Linked DNA regions of Coturnix japonica. The protein of the gene in region 1 interacts with the protein of each later gene in a biochemical or structural test. Links are inferred from orthologs where the notes say so. Each region holds a gene or a part of one and is shown on either strand. Other genes may lie near its edges.

Region 1 (4,647 bases):
CAAATGCAGCAACAGGGTGTTAGAGGCACACATGGGGAAGGGACAGGGTTACTTGTCCCATCTCCCACTTGTGGAATACAGTACTGGGCTGAGTGAACCATCATCTGCCCTGTTTCTCTAATGCTCCTATGCTGTACCTGATTGTGGTCAGCAGTTAAGCCTATGAATAGGGCACAGTAGATAGATATTTCTCAAAATAGCCTCCTAGACATCAAGCCCTTGTGTCTTGCAGACTTTCCAACCCAGAGGAGGTATCTTGTTTTTTTTGATTTTTAGAATGAGATTCTATTTTTATTTTTAGTGCATATATAAAAGAGCAAAGAGGGCTTTGAAATCAAACTTTGTTATTGGAGGTGACAGGCCAACTATGGGTAGTTGCCAATTGCAATGCTTTATTTTGGCTGCCGTCACAAGAGGAAAACTGGCAGCTGGAAGGGCAGGGAGGCATATCCTGGAGAAGACGAAGAATTTAGCCAGACTTTCAACAACCTCTTTGACTCTGGGTGGCTGAGAAAACAGAGCAGTGTTTTTCTGTGTGCTCTGACAAAATACTCTTTAATGGGTCACATTGAGCTGCAGCTTGTACCAGTGCACTGACCCAACCCAGTGTGGGATACCAGGTTTTGCTTTTGAAGATACACTAGTGGGGGTTGAATGAGACCATCTGTGGCCAGCACTTAGGTGCAACCTAAGCCTGCAGCAGCGGTTGGGGTGAAGGGAGGAAGGATGCAAGAGGTTCCTTATCCTTCACAGGGATCATAAAAGTAAGACTATTGGCAGTTGCCTGTAAATGTATGGAGACTACAGCTACAGTGCAAATGGAGACCTATCCTTTCAGCTCCAGACACTTAAAAAGGTATACTCTTAAAAAGTCCATTTTCTCCAAGTTGTTAACATGCTGCTACACCAGGGTGATAGTACAGAAAGCAAGATCAAGGTACAGCCACATTTTGATAGAAAGATTAAGAAACCTAGGGAAAGTCCCTTTTTAAAAAGCAATTAACGTTGCGTATTCTAATTTCTTAAATGGATGCTTTAAAGCCTATTGATTTTATTTCCCAGTTCTCTGTAACGTGGAGGGATGGCGAAGAACATGAGATCAAGACAGCTACAACAGTAGGCTCACTGTGTGAGACAGCAGCAGGAACAGGCCAAGCACCAGCAGTCTTCACACACCTGCTCTCCCTTATATTTACTCATAGTTACACATTAATATGCAACACAATTCAGAACCGCCAGTTCTCTTTCAAACACCGAGAACAAAGGCATTAGCTTCTAATTTATACCTAAACAGAGAACACTGGCATAGCTTTTAACTTGGTCCAAGGCCATTAGCCTACAAGAGTCTTATAGGTCTTTCTCTAACAATCTCTTCACTGCCCTATTCTTACTATTTCTCCCCATAGAGATGTAGGCTGGAGGAACTCCTCCTCCCCCCACCCTCCCCTTACACTCTGCAATAACCGAGGTAAAAGAAGCACAATACCTTCTTCTCCCTTGTTCAAGAGGTTTTAATAAGGACTCATTTTTCAACCTCTCACACTTTACAACATTTAAATGTACACCAAGCTCAGGTAAAAAATAAAGCTTTCTTACAAAGTACATTTTTTTTTTTCCCAGTGAATTGTTTGACGGTGTTTTTTTTTTTTTCTTTTCCCTTTCTTTTTGTGCAGTAAAAATAGCTGCTACATAAATCCCTCCTGATCTCTGAAAAGGAGGCACAGTTATTCCAAAAATAGAATTCATATCTTAATCATACAGGATAAACTGCAGGAAGAAGAGACAAGTCAACTGAAAAAATAAGGCTCGTATATAAATTTGTTTTGTTTTTTTTTTTTTAAAAGGACATGCATAGAAGTTGAAAAACATATGCCATTTATAAAGGAAAAACAAAAGTTATTCGTATCCATATTAGTATTTTCATTTTCAGTTAAAGAAGAAACCACAAATAGGCCCTTAATGTCCCGGAATATAATATTAGTTTCTTGTAAAAATGCCAAAATGCACAAAGATTTGCCAGCTTCGGTCTTAACAAAACACTGAGCCAGCTTCCCACTGCGCCCACCCCCCCAATGCCATGTCATCAGCATACCACATGCATGCATACTCAGTACTTATGTTGTCTCTGAGGCCAATTAAATATTTGCAGAAGGTTGTATACCCTACACAAACATGAAATAGCCATTCAATAGGTTTACATTCGTCCCATTTAAAAAAAAAAAAAAAAACAACAAAAAAAACCAACAAAACACATACAATTAGTTTAATTTACACTATACAGTATCTGTTAAATAGGAACATTACGGAGCTTCAAAAAGAATCACAGAATATATACAAAACTGAATATTGAAATGGTATGATTTTCCTTCCTTTCTCACGAGGGGTTTTTCCTTTCTTAAAAGAGATGCTACATCTGGTTTAGGACACAGAGCGTTGATGTACCTATGCAGCACATTTCTGGAGTAATAATAATAATAAAAAACATGCTTGAGAACAAAACATTAATATCAATCCTTCTTACTGCTCCTTTCAAATAAATTAGTTTTTCTTAAATAAATTGCATGATAGAAGAGATGGAAGCAAGGATGACGGTGTGTTAAAAAAAGAATCTGAGCAATTGTTCTGCTCCATCACCGGTTTCCTCATCCAACCTTTGGTTTTAAAGCCAACCCATCATTACATGGCAGTGTAAGTAGCCAAAACATTGTATGCGGCAGAATAGGTGGTCAAAATGCTTAACCCTAAAGCATTTCTGTGTCATCCTGACAGAGCTGTGATCTGTATCAACTTCCATGCTGCTCAAGTACCTGACACAGCAACATTTGAAGCCACTGATGAAATAAGGCCACTTCCTTCCAACTTCCCCTGGTTACAAAATCAGTCAAGGTCCTTATTTCATCACAGTTGAACCCATCCGAACAGCCAGAAGAACTGACTGTAGAAGGCTCCTGGTCACAGTCCCAACAAGTGCTCCTCGCTGGTGCAGCACCAGGTGGTCAGGTTCAGTCCTCAGTGTCAGGCTGCACCCCCAGCATAGCATGCAGCTCCTCTGCTGTGTATCCCAGCAAGTTCTGCAGGTCGCACACAAAGCGATAAACATAGCGCTTCCCTGAGGTCTTGTGGATGATGTTCTTGTCATAATAGTAGCGCAGCCCTCGGCTCAGCTTCTCATAGTTCATTTTTGGCTTGTTTTTCCTCCTTCCCCACCTCCGTGCCACCTGCCAGTGCAAACAGAAAAGCAAGTGTAAAGGGTTTGTTTAAGTCACACTTTTCTGGTCAGCAGCTGATAAAGGCAGCTATTAAAACCCCTTTCGATCAAAAGTTTACTTGTTTGGGTGTCCCAAACTTGGAGCCACATCTTGGTGGCTCAAACCCCAAGACAAGCATGAATTGCAGCTCATTGACAGCAAGCAGAACCAAGTGGTGGTAGCAAATGACAGCAAGAATGCTTCCCTACAGACGATGGGCCCAAGTGTCTTTAAGAGGAACAAGCTGAAGTGAAATACAATCACCTCTCTCAAGCAGGACACAATTAAAGGTTTAATTTGCTATCGAGCAGCAAGGGACAGCTTTTTAAATGGAAGCTTAATTCTAGGAAGTTCCTTGCAGTTCATGACTCCCCTTCCCTTCTTGAAATAAAAGGGGATTCAGCAGACTTTAAATCATGTCTCTTAATACAGTAATCTTCCTACTGGTAGCAACAATCAGGAAATGAAAACATGGTCTCCTTATTTTTCATGTCTGAAGCCATAAGTTCCCAGCAAGTTTAAAAAGCAGCACTAACACATTTGCTGTTTACTAGAAGAGCTGTAATACCGCGAGCGCCTTTTCCCTGGGAATTCATGCAATCCCAGACGTTGCTGATTCAACTGTATTCAGTAAGCTAGCCTACAGTATTGCTTAGCCTGTCAAAACATCTAACTTTGTATGCTTTAAGTTTCAAGCTATGCAATGTGTTCTCATTACTATAAGCAAATGCTGATATCCCAAGGGAGGGGGAGCAACCCACAGCAGTCCTGACCACACTGTAAAGTATTTGCAGATGAAGAGACTTCAGCAAGTGTCTGATCTCACAAATGCTTTATAGTCAAGAGGAGGCCCACAGATAGCAGATGAGACCCTCAATCTTTTTGTACAGCTCAATTAAACACATACCTCATCTGGGTCAGCAAGTTTGAATTCCCATCCATCTCCAGTCCAACTAATAAAGGACTGGCAGGACTTGTCAGTGAGCAGCTCCAGCAGGAATTGCCACAGTTGGATGGGTCCACTGCCTGTTAAGAGAGCAGGGGTGGGGAGGAGCCATAATTAATACTTCTGCAAGCTCATATCACAATCAGTATATGCAACCATATTCAGATCACAAGGTCAATCTGGTCATTACTCTGATTTTTGTTGTTGTTTTTAAATAGAAGGGGGGAAAAAAAGCTTTACTGTAAGATTTTTCCTCTACAAGTCTGTTCCTACATAGGTTAAAATTACAATTTTTCATGGAAAGATTGGATCTGATGCAAGCTACGTCTTCCATTGTTTGTAATTAGATTCCTCATCCCTCCCGTCTGCCTCCCTTGGCTTGGCAGACTTTCTAGAGGAAAATCTGATCTCAGCAAGGACTACAAGAATAAGGTCCTAATAGGTAAGCCAACA
Region 2 (4,811 bases), on another chromosome or scaffold:
AAAGTAGTATGAATATAGGGGGAAATAAAACTGTTAGTTTTTGTATAGCTGAAGTCCTCAGCCCAGTCGTAATTTAAAGCAACATGTCTGGTTGTTATGAGCTGTTAGTGTTACCACTTTCCCAGAGAAGATTTTCCCCTAAAAATTCTTCCGATCCAGTTTAATCTGGAATTACCTTTTCAAAAGATGTTGTGACACTGAGAAAATTTGTGCTGGATGAATTTTGAAGCCCCGGTTTAAAATGACGTGATGGCGTTTTTCATTGACAGAGCATCAAGAAGAAAAACACGAGTAAACAAGAGATGAGCACATACCTGCGGTTCATAGTCTCTCGTATGAAGGAGCGGGTGAGTCTGAAACAGGGACACGTGGCAGAGTGTTGTGTGCTGTAGGGGATGCAATGCAGCTGGTGTGTGTGACTGCGCTGGAAGAAGGCCTACAAGAGGGTGTCTTTTTATTTCCCTTGTCATAAGCAGTTTGTGTATTTCAACATACACTTATCATGTTTCATAGCTAAGGTTAATAGAATTGTGGCAGGAAGAGTTTATACAATGGGCCCATCACTCTTTTGAAACTGATGTTTTTCAGGTTTGAAGTACATTTAATGTGTAAGACTGCTGATCTGCAGCTGGGCCTTGTCTGTTCTCCACCTGAAATATTCCAAGCTGTTGCAATTATTTAATCTTTTGTATATGCTTTAAGCAGATTCTCAATGCAATAACTTGTACTGTCTCATGGTCCTTTCAGGCTATAGATCTAAACAAGAAAGGGAAGGACAACAAACACCCAATGTATAGGAGGCTGGTGCACTCAGCTGTTGATGTTCCTACTATACAGGAGGTAGAGTGATTTCCTTTCTAACTTCCACACTGTTTAGGTGTCTTTTAACACTGAAGATAAACCTTAAGAACTAAAGCACAATCCTGTTTAATTAATGAGTATTTCAGCTTTATGTTGAGCATTGAATATAGGAGCTTAAAATGTCATACTTTTCCTTATAAATAGGTATCCAAGTGAAAATGTCTTGGATGGTGCCTGTTTTTCAGACATTGAGTATTCTCAATTCCTTTCATACTAAGATTTTACTAGGAGCTGCAGGTAGCTGAAATCCTCTTTTAAAAAGTATGCTTTATATAGGTCATTGAATTTATTCTTTAGTGCCTGTGTTTGCATATCTGGCCCAATGTTTTTTACTATATTACATTTTTAACCACTGAGGCATTGTGTAGACATCAACTTGAGAAACATCTGAATGATTCATAAAGAACCCATCATTTTGTGGATCACAGAAAAACAGGACTCACTTAACATCTGTTTTGCATTAATTGTTCCAAGAATAAAGTTCTAGTATGTTCTTTTTTTTTTTTTCTTCAGAAAAGGTCAGATTGTGACTCATGTAAATGAACTACACATGACCAAACTGGATAGCATATCATTTTATTTATGGTTGTAGCTTGATTGCTATAACATGCTAACATATATCATTCTTTACAAAAGTAGATGTAAAAAAAAAACAACAAATTGCTTTATTTTTGTTACTGAAATACATGGATAAACAATAGCCACACTGACAGTTTTAGGGACATGCATAATGGGCTGGATTGAAGTGCCTAAAACTGAAAATAGGTCAGGTTTCCCTTTCACTGTGTCACCTTCGCGCACTTCCTCAGAGGGTCTTTTTGGCCTTGATAACATGCCTGAAATTGAAGACAGTTTATTTGGTGAATTCATAGAAGTTCTTCAAAGAGCATAAAAGAAAAGATGGCATCCTTACTAGAAAAAAGATCTCACTAGGTAAATTAACTGTGTGGCTCCCTGTGGGCTTTTGTTATGAGTTTGGAAGACTAAGGCAGTGACTGCCTCAGAAAACCCTCGCTGTCAAGTGAAAATCCTAGAAGTATAAAAGCAGTCAACATGGGTTTGAAACTGGCATGTATTTTAAGATGTAAAATCTTCACCTCAGGGAATATACCTTTATTTGAACAAGCATTTTGGATCACATCTTACTGCTTTTGTCATAACAAAGAGGGTTTGGTTTTTTTTTCTAACTCAATCTAACATTAAAGCAAGTATTTTACTACTGAGCACTGCATGAAGGAACCGATGAGGCCAGTGTTCAGGTGCTAACAAACCATGTCAAACAGCTGTAAGTATTACTTCTGTATGCTGGAAGGGCAGTGTCTGATCTGTATTGCATAATGTGGATTTCCATGAAGGCTTTTTTTGCATAAAACAGGTAAAGCACTTTGGTAGTTTTTTCACAATCCTGTTTTCTTTTGTATAGAAAGTAAATGAAGGAAAGTACCGGAGTTATGAGGAGTTCAAAGCAGATGCGCAGCTGCTTCTACACAACACAGTGATTTTCTATGGAGGTAAAGTGCTACATTTACTACTTACGTTATTTGGTTTATCTTCATCAATAGGAGGCTCAAAAGTTCAGGACTGGTTTCAGTATTTGATAATCTTACATTTAGATGAAGTTATTTGAAAGCCCTTACAAATCAAAGTAAGCTGTGAGAGGACTTGGTTGACGGCAGGGTCTGCTCTTGCCCACTGGCTACATGCCTATTTTCATCTTCTCTGCTAAGCCTATCAGTGGGAATTTGCAACTTTGCCATCCTGTTTCTTCTGCAAGCAAAGCCACGAGTTAATCTATACTGCAGGTTTCTTCCAGAATATGCGTGTTGCTTTGGAGTAGAAAGAGGTACAGTTTCTGATGTGCTGCGTCAGCAAAATCATTGGCAATATCTGCCATATTGCAACAGCGGATACATCTACATCCCCTTAAAAATACTGGTACCATCAGAAAAGCTGCCAGCCACTGTGAGGGTGTTTAGTGATTATTTAGTAAGGTGTGACAGTATAGATGGTAGGGAGAAACACCACCACCGCTTCTAGAAGTCAGAGCCAGGTCTAGTAACAGGGTTCTCCAGAGCTGTCTTTTCAGGAAGGATGTGGCTTGTGGTTGTCCCACACAGGCAGCTCAGGGGAACTGGGAGAAGGCTGGGACCAGGCCATGCACTGTGTCAGGCAGCCCACACTGTTGCTAGTAAGGAGAGTGCTGAGAGGGAGTGTTAATAGGGATGTATACAAGTGTCAGGGAAAACCCATAATGATAAACAGTTTCTGAAGCATTCTCTAAGCAGAAAACACTTATGAGATGTACCTGTGTTCATTCCAGTGGTGACTGCAGAGAACCATGTTTTAGGGCAATTACTAAGATGATAGCAGAGAAAGAAACTGGATCTGTATTTAGAACAACCATGTCTTGCTGCTGCTGCTCCTCAGATCTGTGTTTGTATTGTTTGGTTTAAAAGCTCCCAACAGTGTTTTTGCGTTATAAACACAATAGAGCAAGCAAATATAGAACTGATCATTAGAAAATTTTAAATGGAAGGGTTATCCAAGTGGCTGAATTACGTTTTGCATTCTAAAGCAAGACAATTACAGCATGAAAGTCATAGCAGCTGCAGATCTTCGTGAGCACAGCGATCGTACTGTGATTGTTCATAGCATTTATTTTTAATTTATAGCGGACAGTGAACAAGCTGACATAGCGAGGATGCTTTACAAAGACACGTGTCATGAAGTAAGTAGCACCAAGTAACCAAGATGTAGATATGCTATTTGCTTTTTGCTTTAGAATCTAAGAGAATGATTCTTCTTGTTATGAAAACTTGAAGTTCTAGCTACTGTTTCAGAATTGCTTTTCCTTTTTTTTTTTTTCTTTCTTTTGCAACTTGACTGTCATTTGGATAAAATGATTAAGTTTTAGTTTGGAAATAATGTAGTAATACATGATTGGACTAGAAATGATTGTACTTGCTTGCATAATTTCGGTCTAAAATGGGATTCCTACCAAGTTCTGTAATTGTCGTTGAAACACTTATCAATATTCATAGGAGACCGGAACATAAAGATGAGTTGGTTGTCACATTTGCTCAGTAGAGTTTTTTCTTTCAGAATGTGCTTTAAATTTTGATGAATTTAAAGAACCGTGCATTTTAGCTTTAATAAATCATTAAGTGTTCAATTAAGCCCTTCCCCCCATGCTTTTTGAAAGTATGAATAATGTTGCTGCATCTTGTATTTCATCTGCTCTTAAGACATCTCATTTTATACCTTGTTGCACCGAAGTAGTGCCACCCATTTAGCGAGCAGGGCTGAAAAACTCTGCCACTTACACTACTGAGCTCATACAAATGGGATTTTTGGAGTTTATTTATATCTGTTTTTGTTTTTCAGCTGGATGAACTGCAGCTTTGCAAGAACTGTTTCTATTTGTCAAATGCACGACCTGACAATTGGTTCTGCTATCCTTGTGTATGTTGCTGACACGTATTTTTGTTTGTTTTTCTGTATTAATCCCTGCAGTTTGGTCTCGTTAATGCATTGAATATTCCATTTCAGTAAGCGTGTTTCAGATGTAAGATTAAACTCTCCTAAGTCTAGATATTTAACACAAGCAAAATGTTGGTTGAAGGCTGTATCAATATGTGTAATAAACTCAATTATCAGATGGTTACAGCACTTTCACAAGAAAATAAGGAGTTTACAGAAATAAAACTTTAGAAAGGGACAAAGATGTGTTTAATTTGGGGGATGCTCAAGATATATGTTTTCAATAAACGGTCTTTTTTTGATGATAATTCAAGCAATAAATCTTACAGAGAAATATTCATTGTAAGAAGATAAAATTGAAAACAAGCATTAGATATAAACAGCAACTGTATTCTTAAGAAACTAGCATAGCACTACAGTAAAATATTTGCGGTAGAAATTAATATCATGCTTCATATCCAGTAATATAT

What was found. The genes of interacting proteins can lie anywhere in the genome.
Region 2: the proteins of ETS2 (region 1) and ZMYND11 form a complex in vitro, tested with the Homo sapiens proteins (2 studies listed by BioGRID). The link is inferred for Coturnix japonica from reciprocal best matches to the Homo sapiens genes ETS2 and ZMYND11.

Annotation. Positions count from the first base shown.
Region 1 is NC_029516.1:97,068,630-97,073,276, reverse strand, and holds the end of ETS2 (protein C-ets-2), read right to left. Parts: intron 4,275-4,647; coding exon 4,156-4,274; intron 3,219-4,155; coding exon 3,003-3,218; 3' UTR 1,496-3,002; downstream 1-1,495. UniProt on the Homo sapiens protein: Transcription factor activating transcription. Binds specifically the DNA GGAA/T core motif (Ets-binding site or EBS) in gene promoters and stimulates transcription.
Region 2 is NC_029517.1:8,890,406-8,895,216, forward strand, and holds part of ZMYND11 (zinc finger MYND domain-containing protein 11), read left to right. Parts: intron 1-269; coding exon 270-347; intron 348-747; coding exon 748-840; intron 841-2,284; coding exon 2,285-2,372; intron 2,373-3,533; coding exon 3,534-3,589; intron 3,590-4,245; coding exon 4,246-4,323; intron 4,324-4,811. UniProt on the Homo sapiens protein: Chromatin reader that specifically recognizes and binds histone H3.3 trimethylated at 'Lys-36' (H3.3K36me3) and regulates RNA polymerase II elongation. Does not bind other histone H3 subtypes (H3.1 or H3.2).